Arabidopsis thaliana: one gene and its partners. The protein of the gene in region 3 purifies or fractionates together with the protein of the main gene of each other region. This does not show direct contact. Each region holds a gene or a part of one and is shown on either strand. Other genes may lie near its edges.

What was found.
Region 1: the proteins of AT5G12040 (region 3) and GSTU25 fractionate together in Arabidopsis thaliana (co-fractionation; one large-scale study listed by BioGRID). This does not show direct contact.
Region 2: the proteins of AT5G12040 (region 3) and GSTU20 fractionate together in Arabidopsis thaliana (co-fractionation; one large-scale study listed by BioGRID). This does not show direct contact.
Region 4: the proteins of AT5G12040 (region 3) and PGM2 fractionate together in Arabidopsis thaliana (co-fractionation; one large-scale study listed by BioGRID). This does not show direct contact.

The regions. Positions count from the first base shown.
Region 1 is NC_003070.9:5,870,326-5,873,679, reverse strand, and holds GSTU25 (glutathione S-transferase TAU 25), read right to left. Parts: upstream 1,657-3,354; 5' UTR 1,473-1,656; coding exon 1,158-1,472; intron 1,073-1,157; coding exon 722-1,072; 3' UTR 556-721; downstream 1-555. Other genes in the region: GSTU24 (glutathione S-transferase TAU 24), read right to left, coding at 2,989-3,330. UniProt on the Arabidopsis thaliana protein: May be involved in the conjugation of reduced glutathione to a wide number of exogenous and endogenous hydrophobic electrophiles and have a detoxification role against certain herbicides.
Region 2 is NC_003070.9:29,483,578-29,487,075, forward strand, and holds GSTU20 (glutathione S-transferase TAU 20), read right to left. Parts: upstream 1,813-3,498; 5' UTR 1,628-1,812; coding exon 1,313-1,627; intron 1,190-1,312; coding exon 851-1,189; 3' UTR 543-850; downstream 1-542. Other genes in the region: GSTU19 (glutathione S-transferase TAU 19), read right to left, coding at 3,082-3,426. UniProt on the Arabidopsis thaliana protein: Exhibits glutathione-dependent thiol transferase activities. Can use glutathione (GSH) and 1-chloro-2,4-dinitrobenzene (CDNB) as substrates. Involved in the regulation of far-red light influence on development.
Region 3 is NC_003076.8:3,883,267-3,888,580, reverse strand, and holds AT5G12040 (Nitrilase/cyanide hydratase and apolipoprotein N-acyltransferase family protein), read right to left. Parts: upstream 3,633-5,314; 5' UTR 3,420-3,632; coding exon 3,159-3,419; intron 3,073-3,158; coding exon 2,956-3,072; intron 2,807-2,955; coding exon 2,582-2,806; intron 2,259-2,581; coding exon 2,165-2,258; intron 1,808-2,164; coding exon 1,733-1,807; intron 1,618-1,732; coding exon 1,539-1,617; intron 1,446-1,538; coding exon 1,430-1,445; coding exon of another isoform or gene 1,412-1,429; exon of another isoform or gene 1,222-1,411; coding exon 1,141-1,221; intron 1,052-1,140; coding exon 969-1,051; intron 888-968; coding exon 809-887; 3' UTR 504-808; downstream 1-503. Other genes in the region: HSP17.6A (heat shock protein 17.6A), read left to right, coding at 3,897-4,367. UniProt on the Arabidopsis thaliana protein: Omega-amidase involved in the metabolism of asparagine. Probably also closely coupled with glutamine transamination in the methionine salvage cycle.
Region 4 is NC_003070.9:26,668,090-26,674,696, reverse strand, and holds PGM2 (Phosphoglucomutase/phosphomannomutase family protein), read left to right. Parts: upstream 1-1,530; coding exon 1,531-1,605; intron 1,606-1,814; coding exon 1,815-2,051; intron 2,052-2,271; coding exon 2,272-2,353; intron 2,354-2,448; coding exon 2,449-2,504; intron 2,505-2,657; coding exon 2,658-2,771; intron 2,772-2,890; coding exon 2,891-2,953; intron 2,954-3,099; coding exon 3,100-3,219; intron 3,220-3,321; coding exon 3,322-3,422; intron 3,423-3,551; coding exon 3,552-3,611; intron 3,612-3,713; coding exon 3,714-3,813; intron 3,814-3,939; coding exon 3,940-4,100; intron 4,101-4,194; coding exon 4,195-4,290; intron 4,291-4,428; coding exon 4,429-4,492; intron 4,493-4,579; coding exon 4,580-4,661; intron 4,662-4,740; coding exon 4,741-4,919; intron 4,920-5,007; coding exon 5,008-5,084; intron 5,085-5,167; coding exon 5,168-5,300; intron 5,301-5,392; coding exon 5,393-5,509; intron 5,510-5,605; coding exon 5,606-5,677; 3' UTR 5,678-6,051; downstream 6,052-6,607. Other genes in the region: AT1G70740 (Protein kinase superfamily protein), read left to right, coding at 136-322, 404-850. UniProt on the Arabidopsis thaliana protein: Catalyzes the reversible isomerization of alpha-D-glucose 1-phosphate to alpha-D-glucose 6-phosphate. The mechanism proceeds via the intermediate compound alpha-D-glucose 1,6-bisphosphate.

The DNA of each region.
Region 1 (3,354 bases), on a different chromosome or scaffold from region 3:
TGTACAAACTACAACGTAAACTTGTTTTCCTCCAGATTCGATTCCAATTATTGGTTCGAAAAATATAATAGTACAATTAAACTTTAAAGCCCACTAAGACCCAAGTAAATAGACTATCACGGCTAAACTCAACACACTGATTTTGTTTTTGGGCCCAAAAGCCCATTATGTTTTGGATATTCGGATGGGCTATATTATAAAGGATTCAGTCCAATGTTTGAAATTAGTTGATTTGGTCTATGACTATCAAACAAAGATTACAAATTGTAATTGTCATTACTCATTAGTTTTGGTTTAGTACAGCCTCGATAATTTATTCAGATTTGGCACTCCACCAAAATCTATTTTAATAAAATCAACAATGTAGTCGGTTTGTTAGTTTTTTTTTTCTTTGACGCTTTGTTTTGATAATACTATAATAGTAATTAGTAAGGGGAAAGAAAAAATAAAACAAATCGATTGTTTTAGATTTTGGATTGGATTTTCTTGGTACTGGTTTAATTCGGTTTACTAGACTTATCATCGCAATGAAGATCTAAAAAATTGAAGCTAATGCAACGTATTACGCATGCTTAACCACCCCAACCGAATTTTCAAGTAAATATTTGTATTATTTTGATGACATTATCTTAAAGATTTCCGAAACAAGGAAGAAACAGAACATGAAACAGAGCAGAAACAGCAACACAAACAGAAACATAAAAACATATCAGCGTAGAATCTATTCGATTTCGATCCCAAGTTTTTTCCTTAGCTCAGGAACGAACTTAATGATCTTCTCCGAATCAGGAAGAGACTTAGCCACACTCTCTCTCTCCACACACCTTTTACCCCAAGCAATCAGTTTTGGACACTCGGCTTCAATGCTGAAACTCCCAAACTTCTCATACGCTTCAAACCAACTGTAAAATCCAATGAGAGCTATATCAACATAACCGAATGTTTCACCTCCAAAGTAAGTCTTGTCTCCAAGCTCAGACTCTAGTGTCTTGAGTATCTCGATGAACTCCTTCTTCCCCGCCTCATGCTCTTCGCCTTTAGCTCCCCAAATCAACCTCGCTGAAGCATACACCTAAGCACATTATACGAAATATTAACGTCTATGTCTTGCCTAAGAAGGGTTTGATTTTTAAGCTTATTTTTGGAAGATAGATTACCTTCTTATCAATGAAATCTCCCCAAAATTTGGCCTGAGCTCTTTGGTAAGGATCAGAAGGAAGAAGTGGGGTTTTGCTAGGCCAAACTTCGTCGATGTATTCGATCTGGATGAGTGATTCACATACCGGATTACCATTGTGGATGAGAACCGGTATTTTCTTATGAACCGGATTCATCTCGAGGAGAATCGGGCTTTTGTTCCACAGATCTTGTTCTCTGTAATCGAATTTGACATTTTTCTCTTCTAAAGCAATCCTCGTCCTCATTCCAAACATGCTCGGCCAGAAATCAAGAAGAATCACCTCGTCTGCCATTGCTGTTCTTGATTAAGCTCACTAAGATATTTTTGTTTGTTTGTTTTGTGTCTAAGTATATTATGGTGAAGAGAACAAGGTTTTGGTCAATTTATAGAGGAGACAATAACTCAAAACTACAAACGAAATCGCATTTGCTTGCCGCTAAAGTCAGAAATGCATTAACGTGCCCATTACACTAAATCTCATCGCACTAAAGCATTTTAATATGAAGGGAATAAACTTTTGATTAAACATTTTCTTTTCATTAGCTTTAGTTTAAAAGTCGTCAGAGATTATTTAGCTTCAATACTTTGTGTTATTGAATATGAGTATATCAACTATCAAGGGGTTATACATACCAAAAAAAAACTATCAAGGGGGTTTGTAATTTATATGTTGAAATTTCATGTTGATTTCTTCTCGTGTAAAGTTTCTCGTACTTTATATTAAAATGTGGAATTAATAAATATTTTGGTGTAAAATTTATGTGACAAATTTTAAATCAGAAAGCTTAAACCTAGAGATTGGTAACGAGTAGTATACAATTATTTAGTTGAACAACTCATTTATTAATGTTTTGCGGTTCAAGACATTGACCACATGATTCACAGAGTTGAATTGATTATGCCACTGCTTACGCCATCATACCTTTTTACCTTCACTTTTTCCAAACTTTTTATTGGTTACTTTTCTTTGGTTAGGACTATATTTACTTTAAGGATGACGAAAAAAAAACAAAAAAACAAATTTTAGCTGTCTGAAACCTAATAAAATTGATTAATATACAATTATACATACCTCTTTTTTAAAAATATAGAGTATATGCATATCTCATTATATGTGTTTGGCATCCATTTCCCATTTCACATTGTCCCCATTCTTGTATCTTTTGTGCATCTAACGACAAAAATAAAATAACCAATAAACGATTAAACAAATAAACGGTGTAGAATGAGTTTGCATGGTAAGATATAATAACTATTTGCTTTTAACATTTTTTCCAATACTTCAAAAATCAAATGATTAAATGACTTATCTTTGGGCCAAATATCCAACGATTTTTAGATGTGTCTGGTTAAAAAGTTCTTAATCGGGGTTTGCTAATCGGTTTAGTTTCACTTCAGTTTTTTTTTCTTTGGCTCAAAGTTTTCACTTAGTTTGTTTCATTCTTGTATTCTTCTTTTCGACCGGTTTAGCATTTCTCCTGGTTATTTAACTAAGTTAATCATATTTTTTGAATCACGATCGTCAAATCTTGTTCACATGTGAGGTTATTCATTGAATCAACGAATTTAATCTTTATCATATATTTACGTCGATTTTGGTATTAGAGCAAGCGCCGTTATGGCAACCAGATTAATGTACCAACAATTCTCCATTGAATGAACATCACAACAAAGTTTCTTTTATTGAAATCGAGTTTACATAAAGGGAAATATAATCTCACAAATTGAAATTGGTATTATTATGCATTACATAGACCTCAAAGAAAATAGAACAAAGCAACAACAGATCAACATAACAAAGTAGAGATTTACTCCAACCCAAGTTTCTTCCTACGTTCGGAAATGAATGTAATGACCTTCTCTGACTCAGGCAGGGCTTTAGCGACGCTCTCTCTCTCCAAACACCTTTTGGCCCACGCAACCAATTTCGAACACTCAGATTCGATACTGACATTTCCAAACTTCTCGTACACTGCAAACCAGCTATGGAATCCAATGAGAGCTATATCTACATACCCAAAAGTTTCGTCTCCAAAGTACTTTTTGTCTCCAAGCTCAGACTCTAGCGTCTTGAGTATTTCGATTAACTCCTTGGCTGCTTCTTGCTCCTCACCTTTGACCGCCCAAATCCTTCTCGCCGTAACATTCACCTGATCCGTTGGTAAAAACAAAAA
Region 2 (3,498 bases), on a different chromosome or scaffold from region 3:
TAAATCAAAGGTATGCAAATCTTTCTTTTGGTGATGAAAAATACAAATTTTCCTCTTTGCTATTCTTCTTACAACTTATGAATGGTGATGACAGTAATGCAATAACGATATGAAGCTTTGACTAGTTCTTTTCTAGCAATCGAATGACCGAAACCATATGTTTTACAATAGAATTGTATTGATCTTCGAAACAAAGATCACACGTATAAATTATATTATTCGGTGAATGGTGAGTTGATGACAAAAGGATAATCAGAGAAAAACTGTTGGTGTGAGCCACACCGTAGTGGAGTCTCCACTCAAAGCCTCAAAGTAAGGGAACTGACCAGCTTTTATGTTAGTGATCAATGTATTATCTCTTAAGAAGCAAAGAAAAGAAAAACAAACAAAAAAACCCTAATAATAGTGATAATAGATCAGAGGTGTCTTTTTGTTTTCCCTCTAAGCGGAGTTTAGAGAGTGCTTTAGTCTGCATGTCCTCCCAAAAGTGGCTGAGAACCCAATTTCTTTTTATCTTATGTTTGCAGAGCCACTACTTGCATGATTGTAACGTGGCCATCTACTTTATTAATTGCTGGGTGTTATACTATTTTCGTATACGCGGTACTAGACAAGTAGAAAAAGAAAAAAGAATTCCAACTTTTTCTTGTGTTTGTTCTTTTGAAAAGGATGTGACTTCATACTTGGACTCTTTAAGTCGAAACAAATTTTATTTAAATTCCATACTTAGGATGCATAAAAACCACAACACACATTCACTAAGGCTCTCTCGCATTATTAGGGGAAAAAAAAAAACAAAGACAAAAACAGAACACAGCTTAGCAACAAGAGAACAACAAGATTATTCAAATCAGAGATTGTTCTTCCTATACTCAGCAGCATATGCAACAATCTTCTCAGAGTCAGGGAGAGACTTAGACACACTCTCTTTCTCCATGCACCGCTTTGCCCAAGCGATCAGTTTCGGACTCTCTGACTCGATGCTAAAGTTACCAAACTTCTCATAGGCTTGGAACCAACTCGAGAATGTAATCAAGGAAATGTCTACATACCCAAAGCTATCTCCACCAAAGTAAGGTTTATCTCCTAGCTCAGATTCAAGAATCTTCACTGCCTCAATAAATTCCTTCTTGCCTGCTTCTTGTTCCTCACCTTTCTTCCCCCATACCTTGAATTGGGCGTCGGTGAACTGAATCCATTACAGAACATCGAATTATGTCAGAAGGAACCAAACTCATTTTTTCAGATAACCCTAAATCACATTGTTTCAGACTCAAGTTAAGAAATCTAGGGCACAAAAGGGATTAGTTACCTTCTTGTCCACGAAATCAGCCCAGAATCGAGCCTGAGCTCTCCCGTAAGGATCGGAAGGGAAGAACGGGTTCTTCTCGGGCCAAGCCTCGTCGACGTACTGGACAACGTTAAGAGATTCACATACCGGTTTACCGTTGTGGACCAGAACCGGGATTTTCTTGTGAATGGGATTACTCTGGAGGAGTAAAGGGCTCTTGTTCGAGAAATCTTCCTCTCTGTATTCAAACTCAACACCTTTCTCTCGCAACGCAACTCTAGCCCTCATCCCGAACATACTTGGCCAGTAATCCAAAAGAATCGGTAGGTTCGCCATTGCTATAGGATCTCTGAAGTTCACAAAGTGGTATATATTCTTGCTTTTTGTTGTGCGTGAACAAGCGAGTGTGTGTTATAGTAGAGAAGGAGTGAGTGACGGTTGTTTTATAGGGGAAGAAAATGATGTGGAAAGGATTTTGATTCCCGTTACGTCACATCAGCTTTTTTCAAAGCATATTATGGTCCATATATAAATCTTTTAAACAGTAAGCTTTTACCCGTAACGATTTAAAATGTATTTTGCAACTTTGTTAAATAATTGTCATATGTGTGCAACTAGTGAAAACATCACTTAATATAAAAGAGTGTGATTATCTTTTGCTCTGATTCAAACCTTAAACGTATATGTAAGAGATTAGAATGGAATTAGTACTTGACAATATAGAAATCGACTTGATTTATAAGAAGGTAACAAAATAAAAAGTTGATCGAGTGAAGTAATACTTTGCTTAGTTGCTGCATCAGTCTCTACTTTTGGCGTGGCCACCTACTCACAGTTGTTTGTATTATTATCTCTCAGTTAGGTGGGTGTACATTTACCACGTGATTCCCTTGATTTGATATCAAACATTACAATCCGGTACATACGAGGACAAGCTACTTACCATGCATGTACAAGAAATACGCATTTACACAAGGAGTGATAACAGCTATACTAATTTATTGAGAGAGTATTGCACTCTATTAAATATATCACATACACCATTATTTTTTCAATATCAGCATAAGATTTATAAATACATAATGCTTTATCTATGTTTATACTCTAAATTCTTTATATATATAAAGCCTTTGAAATAATATTTTAAAATTTACTAATCGATCCCAAAAATTACAGGATAGTTCTGTGTTAATATCGTTGTTGTAATCGTAAATCAAATTCAAATCCCATGAACTGTGCGGATCATAGTAATGTTATTTGATCTACCGAATTCAAATTCGGCAAGAAACACTAAACCCGTGGCTAATCTGATCATACCGACACTAATGATCACATCAACCACATAACTTCCAATTGACTACAATATGGAGTTATGGATGCCAATTTCAATTTGGGCTTATGGATGCCAATTTGGGCTTATTAGATCCAGACCGGCTTACCATTCTCGATGTTGGAGGTTTTAATCGCCAAACTGCACTATTGTCTTTTACAGCAACATTGGCGTGATAAGCTTGGTCAGGTAGAAGAGTCGTATTGGCGTAATTACATATCAAAGTAACAAATTAATAATCATTATAGATTAACGATCATTAATTAAACTCATAGTTACAATGCATAAAAACTAGGACAAGCCATTAAATCCAGAAAACACAGGAATCTGCTACAGCAAAGACATACATTCTCTACACTCAAACCACCTCACAGATGCTCTGCATTATTTAAGAAAGACAACACACGAAAGTAAAACAGAGAGCATCTTAAGTCCGAACCATATGACAAGAGAAACATATTTACTCAGGTACAAATTTCTTCCTGAGCTCAGAGACGAATTCAGTAACCTTCTCAGGATCAGGCAAGGACTTAGCCACGCTCTCCCTCTGCAAACACTTCTTAACCCAAGCAATCAGTTTCGGAACCTCAGATTCGATACTGAAGTTAGCAAACTTCTCGTATGCTGGAAACCATGTGTAGAATCCAATCAACGCAATGTCTACATAGCCAAAGTCATCGCCACTAAAGTAAGGTTTGTCTCCAAGCTCAGATTCAAGAGTCTTGAGTATCTCAATGAAATCCTTCTTCCCTGCCTCTTGTTCCTCACCCTTTGTCGCCCACACCTTCCTCTGAGCATCATACAGCTGAAACATTGCACAGAGTAACATAACACCAAGCTATGTCAGAACTCAGTCGAACCCAAACAAAGCTCAAAG
Region 3 (5,314 bases):
CTACGTCTTTCTTTACCCTATAGGCTTGGTCCACGTGTCTTCTCCAAAGACGAAACCACTACACACTGTGGTGAATCTTGTAAGGCTTCTGCTGTTGTAACTGCATTTTGTCGTCCGGTCATTTATCATTCAACAATAACCACGGATCTTCAAATCATGTTGAGGCCGCTGACAAAAGTTTATATGTTATTTCATTTTCAAATCTTTTATATCCCACTTGTGCTTGTGGATGAACCTATCTGCATACTCTATATACTCTTTTCTTCTTCTCATCTAAAACAAATTACATTGCATATTACAAATCTTGATGTGTAGCAAAATATACCATGGCTATCTTTGACTTGACTTGAGTTATGTGATGAAACGTTTTGAGTAGGTGTGAACATTTGAAGAACCAGTTATAACAATTTTAGTTTAAGTAAGTACTCGATATTGAATATGATGGTTGTGGAATGAAGATATGAGTTGTTTTTTTCATAGACAATGACATTTACTGAGAAATTCACAAAAATAGTGTATATATTTTGATAAAAAAGTCAAATGCTATTCTGATTGCGAATCACAAGTCTACATTGTTATCAGAATGCATTGAAGTTTATAAACAACAAACACATGGCAAGTGGGTGGAGTTCACATTATCTAAGCAGAATTTACTTGCCTTTGTTCGATTTTAACTCAAAAGTTTGATTTTTATTCTTTTACATATCTCAGCAAAGTTGTGGAGAAATGACTGATCATGCATGAAGTTGTAAGTAACCAAATCGTGCTCAACTCGCAATATCTCTCAGATATACAGTTACTGCTGCGTTCATTTAGAGTCTAAGCGCTGTACGTCTACAAGCTGGTAAAGATCTCCCCGCCGCTGCCTATTCAATGGAAGGCTAGTCCTAAGATGGTAAAAAAAACGAGATTCAGTTAGCGGATCACGCTATCAAAAACCAAGAAAGTTCTGGTGTTTCCGTGATTACCTTCGTTGTTCAAGGATAGAGTAATCAATCTCTGCTATGATAATGGCCTCCTCATGCTCAGTCGTTGCTAGTACTTCTCCAAACTGTCAAATAATATATATGTTTCAAAGTTTAGTGATCAGCTAAAAGCTTCATTATCAATCAAGTAACACAGAAAAAGTTTAGTGCTTACAGGCCCAACGAGTGTTGAGTGCCCCCAAGCAGTGTAGCCAGCTCCTGAATCTCTGGCAGGTGAGCATGTCGCCACATATAACTGGAGAAAGTAGCATACATAGTTCTATTAACCGGTCCATGACTTTGATAACAGTCAATTAAGTAAAACTAACCCCAAAGAGCAGAAGATAATACTTGTATTGATAACTCAAAGAAAAATGCAGGTTTGCTATGAATTCATTAAGAAATGTCAGAACTTGTATCTCTCTTTTGGCTATCAATACAAGTATTTAACTTGGTTCATGTACCTGATTATCCGTAGCCCTGAAATGGAACAAAACAGATCGATGAGCATTGTGATTTACCCATGATTAAATAAGCCAAGAAAGTCGTAATGTAGTAGACTGTGAATCATACCTGGCCCTTTGTAGTAATTCCCAATGCAATGGTCCAGTTGTCATGTTAAAGGCTCCCGGGTAGCACAGCAAATGAGCCCCTGATATGATTAAAGTAAACATGTGGGTGATGAGGTTCTTTAAAACGTAATGGACCCGAAAAAGAGAGGAAGCAGATAGTCCATTTGGATAAAGCATTATGATATGAAGACTCACCTCTTGCAGCATATATCATAGCTAACTCCTGGAACCTGATATCATAACAGATGCCTATTCCAATACGCCCTACATCTGCAACAACCAACAAAACTATCATTCTCAAGCGCTGCACCGCGTTAAAGATTTCTCATAAGTACTAGAAAGTGAGAGGTGATGTGAACGGTCCTACTATGACTTGATTGTTCAATAAAGACATTTCCCCAGTCAAAATAGTTGGCAAGATCTTAAAAACATTATTATTCATAAACACTAGGCCAGCATGAAAATGAATCATTTCACTGTTGAGCTAAGAAGATCCCAAATCTGACTGGAAATTTAAATCCTTAATCCTAAATTATTATTTTTAGATAGTACCACAATGAGTTTATGTAAGATACATGATTGTTTATGCATGACCTGGAATTATATTTGGCAAACCAAGATTATAACCTGTGTCAACGATTGTTGGTGTCTCTCCAGCAGTAAGAGTTTTGGATTCCATAAAAGTAATCTTCCCGGGAATGTCTATATCAAATAAATGTATCTGTATGCACACACAAGTACAAACACAAATAAGTGCAAGCAATCAAAAACAAGATGTTCTGAGAATTGATAATATAAGCATAAAACGGTCAAGGCCATCTCGCCTCATAATTTGTCCTTATGAATCATAGAGGAAGAACTCGAACCAGAACATAACTACCACATCATTCTAATTACTGATTCTAAGTCTATTAGATCCTAAAAACAGATGATAAAAGATGAACAACGATTTTAGAAGTAAGATTAGCATCTTTCATTCTATGGCCTAAAGCAGAGGAAAGTTCATTATTTCTTCTATGAAAGTTTAATCTCAAAAAATCTAACCTTCCGATGCTTAGCTTTTAGCTCTCCATCGGAACCAAAGACACAGCAAGTGTTATACAAACGATCTCCAACTCTTTCTGGTATAGATCCACCAATGATTGTAATCTTGAGACGTTTGGAAACTTCAGAAAGCATTGCCGTTGAAGGAGAAGCATCACCACCTGCATCAATCTCCTCCGCATAAACTGGAAAACTATCATTGGAATACGGACTGTTCCAAATTTCCTGAAACAAACCCATTGAATGGTTTTAAACCCCATAGAGACGATACCACTAGCTCATACTTTTTGTAAATTTTACACATTTGAGCAACAGAACATTAGAATTGAACTCACAAAGAGCTATGAGCTAAGATACAAAGAAGAAAAACTCACGGGTAAGAGAACAAGCTTAGCTCCTTTAGAAGCAGCTTCTTCAATGGCTTTTTTAGCATGAGAGATGTTTCTCTTTTTGTCAGATGTAACAGATAGCTGACACAATCCGATGTTGAACTACAAAATTACCCATGGAACGAAGAAATCAATCAAAAGCTGAAATGATTGAAAACCCAAAGGTAAATGAAAAGAAAGGAGCTAACTTTGGTCAACGGAGGAGCTGGGAGAGGAAGAGCAGAGGGAACTCTAGCTTGTTCAGGGTTGAAAGAAGAAGCCATGGAAGAGGAAATGGATCTTAAAGCTGAGGTTGACGAAGATGGGAGCTTCAAGGTGTGACTAGTGATCGATCTCGGAGATAATTTAGGGAGGAAGTTAGATTTGAGAGAAATGAAGCGAGAAAGAGGATTAGGGTTTAAAAGATTCTTCGAATTGAAGAAGAGTGACGATGAAATTGCTGACTTCATTTCACTTTAGTCCGATGATCATATAGGTAGGTAGATGATATTGATACTTCACCTCACAAAAGCCATGACTCATGAATCCTCTGCGTTTGCGTTTCAACCGTATTGACGCGGTTCAATCAATTTTATACACTAAATTCGAATGAAATCGTACCAAACCGGATAAATTTAACATCCTTACTAAATCCAAAACAGAATACATATGGGCCTGAAAACGAATTGGTCTTGGGCCTGACCGAATCAATCGCTTTTCTCTACATTCGTCTAGAAATATCCATCTACACTTCTCCAACGATCAAGACGTTTCTCGAACGTTAGAGAAGCGCTTTTAAGTTCTATAACACCGAAACAATCGCTCTCTCTACATTGCTCTAGAACTATCCAACTCAACTTCTATTTAATACTTTCTTACATCAAAATCAAAATCAATCAAACCAAAGAAAAAGCCAAGAAGCAAGAAAGTTAACACAACAGCTAAGAATGGATTTGGAGTTTGGAAGGTTTCCAATATTTTCAATCCTCGAAGACATGCTTGAAGCCCCTGAAGAACAAACCGAGAAGACTCGTAACAACCCTTCAAGAGCTTACATGCGAGACGCAAAGGCAATGGCTGCTACACCAGCTGACGTTATCGAGCACCCGGATGCGTACGTTTTCGCCGTGGACATGCCTGGAATCAAAGGAGATGAGATTCAGGTCCAGATAGAGAACGAGAACGTGCTTGTGGTGAGTGGCAAAAGACAGAGGGACAACAAGGAGAATGAAGGTGTGAAGTTTGTGAGGATGGAGAGGAGGATGGGGAAGTTTATGAGGAAGTTTCAGTTACCTGATAATGCAGATTTGGAGAAGATCTCTGCGGCTTGTAATGACGGTGTGTTGAAAGTGACTATTCCGAAACTTCCTCCTCCTGAGCCAAAGAAACCAAAGACTATACAAGTTCAAGTCGCTTGAGTTTGTTTGTGATCGTGTTTTTGTGTTTTAATGAATGTAATCGATAAGCAACTACCTCTTGGTGTTCGTTGTAAAATGAAATAAAAATAGTTTTCTCTGTTCATATTTGTCTTTGTGTTCAATCTTCAAATCAATGAAGTTTTTGCTCTCTTGAACCATCCATGCTTATGAGGCAAAAATAGGACCACAACAAAAAAGACACCGAATGGTCATTCCTCTGTTTTTGCAGAAATTATTACTGTTCATCCTTTCCTAATATCATTGGTGCTATTTAGCACATTGGCCATCAAATCCACATTTGCATTTCACCCTTATCTCTGCAGTCAGCAAAATATATTTTTGGAGTTATGTCCCTTGAAGTAATTTATGGGTATGAGATCAGTAACACAGTGTTATTATATCTGCAAAAACTCTTACATATTCAATTTTATCCTTTAAGTATTAGATGAAAGGAAACAATTTTGTTATTCTGATTTTAAAATCCAAACAACTCTTTGTACTTTTTTCATGTTGGATAACGTAACTGAATCTTCAGCTACTACATCTGTAGTATAATACGAAGTCTGATATCTCAATCTGCTACATTATTTTTTAAATGAAATTTGCATTTGCGAATGCAAATAACATCAACTGAGTTTTAAGACAAATCAAGTTTTGTGCAGATTTGTAACCGTCTTTAATAGCTTATATTAATGTCGTTATACACGATTTAGTGGTATTCAGTGAGTTAGTGCTACCACATATATAGTATTTTTCTTTGGTCACTAAAATAAATATGGTCTTTCATTAATTTTTCTGACCAGAAACCAGAGCATATACTAATTTAGTCTTGTTTCCATCATTAAGACTTTGAACTTCTGATCTTGAGGTGCATGTTGTACACTTGTAATCCAAGTCTTCAGCAATTGTATGTACTTTCCAGTTGAATGTATTCTTTAAAATGAGCA
Region 4 (6,607 bases), on a different chromosome or scaffold from region 3:
TATGCTCTCTCTATTGTTTACCCTTAAAAAGCTCATTTACATATCTTCTTGTGTCATTTGAACTCTTTTTGTTTGTTGGTGTTTCATGGTAGAATGTTATTTAACGTCCATTGCTTCTTCTTTTCTTATGCGCAGTGGTTATATGGCGCCAGAGTACGTAATGCACGGGGTTCTATCGGTAAAGGCAGACGTATTCAGCTTTGGGGTTTTGGTTCTGGAGCTCGTAAGTGGACAGAAGAACTCGAGTTTTAGCATGAGACACCCTGACCAGACTCTTCTTGAATGGGTAAAGCCTCTAGTCTCATGCTCCATTGTTTATAGGGTTGTTGTGTGATGGCCTGACCCAGCCAATATTCTTCAGCGTAATATAACCAATGCTAAATTCTTTCTGAATGTGACACAGGCATTTAAGTTGTACAAGAAAGGCCGGACCATGGAGATACTAGACCAAGATATAGCAGCTTCAGCTGATCCAGATCAAGTCAAACTCTGTGTACAGATCGGACTACTCTGCGTTCAAGGCGATCCGCATCAAAGACCGAGCATGAGACGGGTATCTCTACTTCTCTCTAGAAAACCAGGACATCTAGAAGAACCGGATCATCCTGGTGTCCCGGGATCTAGATACCGTCGGCGAACACAACGTCCTTCAGGAGCAGCATCACTTGGAACATTGTCGACCACTGGTTCCAGCACAGATTCTTTCGGTTCAAACCTGAACACAAACACGGGAACTGGTGTTAGAGGTACCCCCGCATCTTCTAAAGCTTCAACTCGGAGTAATGCCACTAGAAGTGCTGGTCAGAGCTCTAGCTCAGACCCTCACGGGAAACGACATATGAGTTATTGAAGTACATAAAATCTGGTCATAGGTGATTGTAAATAGCGAGCTGCATATATAATATTTGTTTCATAATTTATTTAATTTTGCTTTTGAAAAGTAAATTAATTTATTTTTTTGACTGCAGTAGTGATTTAGTTTTGTAGTATGATTTGTTATATTAGCGGGAAAAAATTATGATTCATTTGTTACATTTGTATATTAGAATAATCACTTGTAGTCCCATTATCTAGGTCCCCACTATTGGCCTCGTACGTATAAAAGCATATTCTCTTGTACGTATTAACGGTACCTTACTTTAAACAAAACATAAAACTAAAATGTTTTTTATGCGTTTTAAATTATTTTTCAGTTAAAATTTATAAAAAGGGTTTTTGTAAACAATTATTTTGATAGTAAAAGAAATACTAACTGAAATTAGTGGAGAAAATACACAAACATATATTTAACTTTCTTTAATTTAAAATATACAGATTTTGTTTCTTTAATTTTTTTTTTCAAATTTTAGTTTTCATTTATTTTTAAATAAAGTATGACATGTCATAATGTTGTATTTTGATTTGTCATTAAAAAGGGGGTGAATCAAATTGGTTCACTCTAGAGGTGAACTTCGCCAAAGAATCACAGACCGTCAGTGTTAATCATCAGAGACATCAACGTAATGTTCCTCTTGGTTACTTCTTGCTTTAATGTTCCTCTTGGTTACTTCTTGCTTTCTACCTGATTCAGGTTCTTCAGTTAAAGTTTCTCTTTTCATTTTTGGGGTAATGCCCGGTTGGGCCTCGTTGTTTTATTTAGGTTCTAGTTCTAGGGCCTGCGTGTCCTTTTAGGCAGTTATTGCCATGTATGTTCTTTGGGCCATTCGTGCCTCTGTCGGCTTGTTGGGCCTTGTAATCGTTTCGGCTCTATTGGAAATTAAAAATAAAATATATATACTAACCCGTTTTGGGTAAAAAGTTAGGTCCACTAAAAGACGAAAAGAGATCCTACCAAAAAAAAAAACGAAAAGAGACGAGCCACACGCGTCACCTTCTCGTTTAGCCTCTTCATCTCCTTTCCTCAGACTCACTGTGTAAAAAGGCTTTTATTTTATCATCTTCAGGCTTATTCGATTTTCTTCAGATTTGAAATGGTGTCGTTCAAGGTCTCTCTCGTCTCTACTTCGCCTATTGATGGCCAGAAACCTGGGACTTCTGGACTCCGTAAGAAGGTTCGTTCGCTTTCGCTTCTTCTCCTTGTTATATCAATCCCCGCGTTCTTATTTCGAAATTGGATTAGAGATTTGAATTCTAAATTCAGATCTTCGCAACGAAATTGATTTCTTCATTTAGTTCCGATCTTATGGATTGAATGAATTTTGTGTGTTGGTTTTAACAATTTGATCCGATCCGATGAGATTTGAATTTACGCATTGTTTCGTAATTTTACAGGTGAAAGTGTTTAAGCAACCAAATTACCTTGAAAATTTTGTCCAGGCAACGTTCAATGCTCTTACTACAGAGAAAGTTAAAGGTAAAGATCTCTCTTACCTCTCTTTGATTGTTGTTCAGGTAAAGGTCGATGATTGCAAATTCCATCTAAGAAAGAGTATTTGTTAACTTTTTCAGGTGCGACACTTGTGGTTTCTGGTGATGGTCGTTATTATTCAGAGCAAGCTATTCAGGTAAAAGCTTTATATGTCCTTTGAATGATGGCAAACTGCGTTTTGCATTAACTTATAATTCTTAGACACTTTACTCTTATTTTAGTTGTTTTGAATCTTTTATTTCATAAAAAAGATAGTTCGTCAATACCACTTTATTTCCTATCTGGACAGATTATAGTAAAGATGGCAGCAGCTAATGGTGTTAGACGTGTGTGGGTTGGTCAAAACAGTCTGCTATCAACTCCTGCAGTATCAGCTATTATTCGTGAAAGAGTAGGGGCTGATGTGAGATATCTTCCTCTAAACTCATACTACTTACTTTTCTCTTGGGTTGTTATCTAAGGCTATGCATGTTTGCAACATGTAATGACGTGATGAGAAACTAACCCGAGATCCAATTTCAGGGATCTAAAGCCACAGGAGCATTTATCTTAACAGCAAGTCATAATCCTGGTGGCCCAACTGAGGTCAGTTCTCTTTTTGTTCTCACTCTTTTGTGCTTGTTCATTCGATACCCTCACTTAGTATTATTTGAATCCTAGCATCAGTTTTGTTAAACTATATGTTCATCTCTCTGCTTCCATATGCTGATTTCCTGCTATTCTATTCACAGGATTTCGGAATTAAGTACAATATGGAAAATGGTGGACCAGCTCCTGAATCAATCACTGATAAGATTTACGAGAACACAAAGACAATCAAGGAGTACCCAATAGCGGAAGATCTACCCAGGGTACCTAACATTTCTGATCTTATTACCTGTCATCATCTTTTTTTCATCTTGTATTTGTACTAATCATGTTTTTTTGCTGGTCTTTTTGATTGAATGCAACAGGTTGATATTTCTACTATTGGTATAACCAGCTTTGAAGGACCTGAAGGAAAGTTTGACGTCGAAGTTTTTGATTCTGCAGATGACTATGTTAAACTAATGAAGTAAGTCTTTCCATCTTTGTATCTGAGAGAACAGTTCTTGAATCTACTCCCTCTATGGTCTATGCATTTAAGAGAATGGTTCCAGAATCTGCGGTATCGATGATCTAAAAGATTTGTTCGTCTCTTCAGGTCAATCTTCGACTTTGAATCCATCAAGAAATTGCTATCTTATCCAAAATTTACTTTCTGGTATATAGTTCATCAACATCCATAAATCTTTTCTTTTGAGTTTGTTTGCTTGTATAGGCTCCATCATGTCTTTGATATTTTATTTCCCATCGTTCTATGAAGCTATGATGCATTGCATGGAGTGGCTGGAGCATATGCACATCGCATCTTTGTCGAAGAACTAGGTGCACCAGAAAGTTCGTTGTTGAACTGCGTACCCAAGGTATCATTTTTTTCTTCTTTCTTATTTTGTATAACCAAGAAATATCATTTCCTGAAAGGATTATAAATACACGTTGAACAGTGTCTTTTATGATTTATAACAACACGACAATCGGACAATGTACAGGAGGACTTTGGAGGGGGCCACCCGGATCCCAATCTTACCTATGCTAAGGAGCTCGTGGCACGCATGGGATTGAGTAAAACTGATGATGCTGGTGGCGAGCCTCCAGAGTTTGGCGCCGCTGCTGATGGTGATGCAGACCGAAACATGATCCTCGGTAAAAGGTAGCAGAGACTAATTCTCTTTTAAGTGAGATCACAGAGATGTGGAGCGGATATACCACTCTCCCCGTTAACCAAAAATATCTCTTCTCCGCAGGTTTTTCGTAACTCCTTCGGATTCAGTTGCTATAATTGCTGCAAATGCTGTTGGGGCCATACCATACTTCAGCTCTGGTTTAAAAGGTGTTGCTAGGTATGCATCCCGGTTCTTCTTTGTTTACTCCAGTTCATAGATTGAAAACGCTGGACTTTGGTGTCATACGTTTTTGTTTATTATAGATAGTAACAATCTTTTCTCATTAAATTCTCAACTTTCACATTCGTATTGCAGGAGCATGCCGACCTCAGCTGCACTTGATGTCGTTGCAAAAAACTTGGGTTTGAAGTTCTTTGAGGTAGATGTCATTGTGAAGCTTTTCTCTAGCTTCTATTCATTGCAATCACGTAACATAGTCTATTGCTCTAATACTTCTATATTTTAGGTTCCAACAGGCTGGAAATTCTTTGGCAATCTAATGGATGCTGGGATGTGCTCTGTATGCGGAGAAGAAAGTTTTGGAACCGGTGAGCTTCTATTGCTAGATCTTCACATGTTTTAAAACCGTAACAACCCTACACAACTCACAAAGAAGCTTTTCGACAGGTTCGGATCATATCCGTGAGAAAGATGGGATCTGGGCAGTTCTTGCTTGGCTATCAATACTGGCTCACAAGAACAAGGAAACCCTTGATGGGAATGCAAAACTGGTGACGGTTGAAGACATTGTCCGCCAGCACTGGGCTACATATGGCCGTCACTATTACACTCGATACGACTATGAGGTAAAACTGACAAATGTCATTATTGGTTGTAGACAATATGTAGAATAACCAATTACCTTTGACCAATTTCTAAATATTTGCTCCATAGAACGTAGACGCAACTGCAGCTAAAGAACTCATGGGACTTTTGGTTAAGTTGCAATCTTCACTTCCCGAAGTCAACAAGTATCTCTCTCTCCACTTAATTTCAAATCCATTCCTTTTTACTTGTATGACTTTCAGACTCACGTTTTTGGATAATTGGTCAGGATTATAAAGGGAATTCATCCAGAGGTGGCAAATGTTGCAAGCGCAGATGAGTTCGAGTACAAAGATCCAGTAGATGGCTCTGTTTCAAAGCACCAAGGGATCCGATACTTATTCGAGGATGGATCACGACTTGTAAGTCGATATGTGTGAAATGGATTCATAACAATTCAACAACCTGTGAAATTGTAAAAGCTAATCCGGGCTTGTTTCTCTTGTTCATGAAGGTGTTCCGTCTCTCGGGAACTGGCTCAGAAGGAGCAACAATAAGGCTATACATTGAACAATACGAGAAGGACGCCTCAAAGATCGGCCGAGATTCTCAGGATGCTCTTGGTCCCCTGGTCAGATTCCCAGATACCTTAATTACTCCCAAATTTACGCATAATCGATCTTTGTCATGTTTATTAACACCAATTGTTGGTGTCTGATTTTCACAGGTTGATGTTGCATTAAAGCTGTCGAAAATGCAAGAGTTCACCGGCCGATCATCACCAACTGTTATTACATAAGACAGCTTTCAGAAGACGCTGTCTCCAATACTACTCTCATTCCAACTTCATTTCTTATGAATTTGGGTTTTGCTTTTTTCCTGTTATCTGTTATCTTACACAAGTATACTTCAATACATATAATTTTAATGGAATATACATTAGGTTGGCAATTGAATTTCTAGCTTTGTTTGGCTCCTCCAAATAAAAAAGAATTGCCACAATATTGGAGCATGTGTGGCAGATGGAGACGTAGCAAGAGTAAAAAGCGAATCCAACAATAACTGATACCTAAAACCTACGGTGTACAACTATAGATAATGGACCCGAGAGGTGGTGATGACAAGCCAGAAGACAGATGTTTATAATTTGTCTCTTGAGCTTGACCAACAAAAACATTCTGACAGTTAAAAGCTAATGTTGGGCATGAATTTCGTGAATCAGATTGTGCCATGTGTTAGTTTGTATAAGTGAGTCAGGGTTCACGGGTTCTTTCTTATTTGGTTTTTAAATCCAAAAGAAAGAGAGGCATCATTACCATCCAAACACTCCTCCCACTTTAGGCTTTCTTCCTCTGTCCTTTCTCCATATTTGTTGTCTTCTACTAAACTTTTGTCTCAACAATGACTGATGCTTTAGCTAACCATCAACATTGTAACATACAGTTGATGGTTAGCTATTTGCTATACATTTGTCTATTTCTCTTGCTTCTATAGTCAAAGTATAGAGTTAGCTCGTATAAAAAGATCAGCATTTAAGTATAAAAAAAATTAGAATGATTTTATGTATAGTATTGTCTAACTTTAGGTGAAATCACAACTGATTATAGAATCCTCGAAGAAAAATATTAAAAAATCAAAAGGCTTAATATTAGCATTTTCTTATGCAGAAATGCTTAATTAATCAAAATAAGTCTTTTCACGTAATTGATTCATGTAACTATAGTAAATT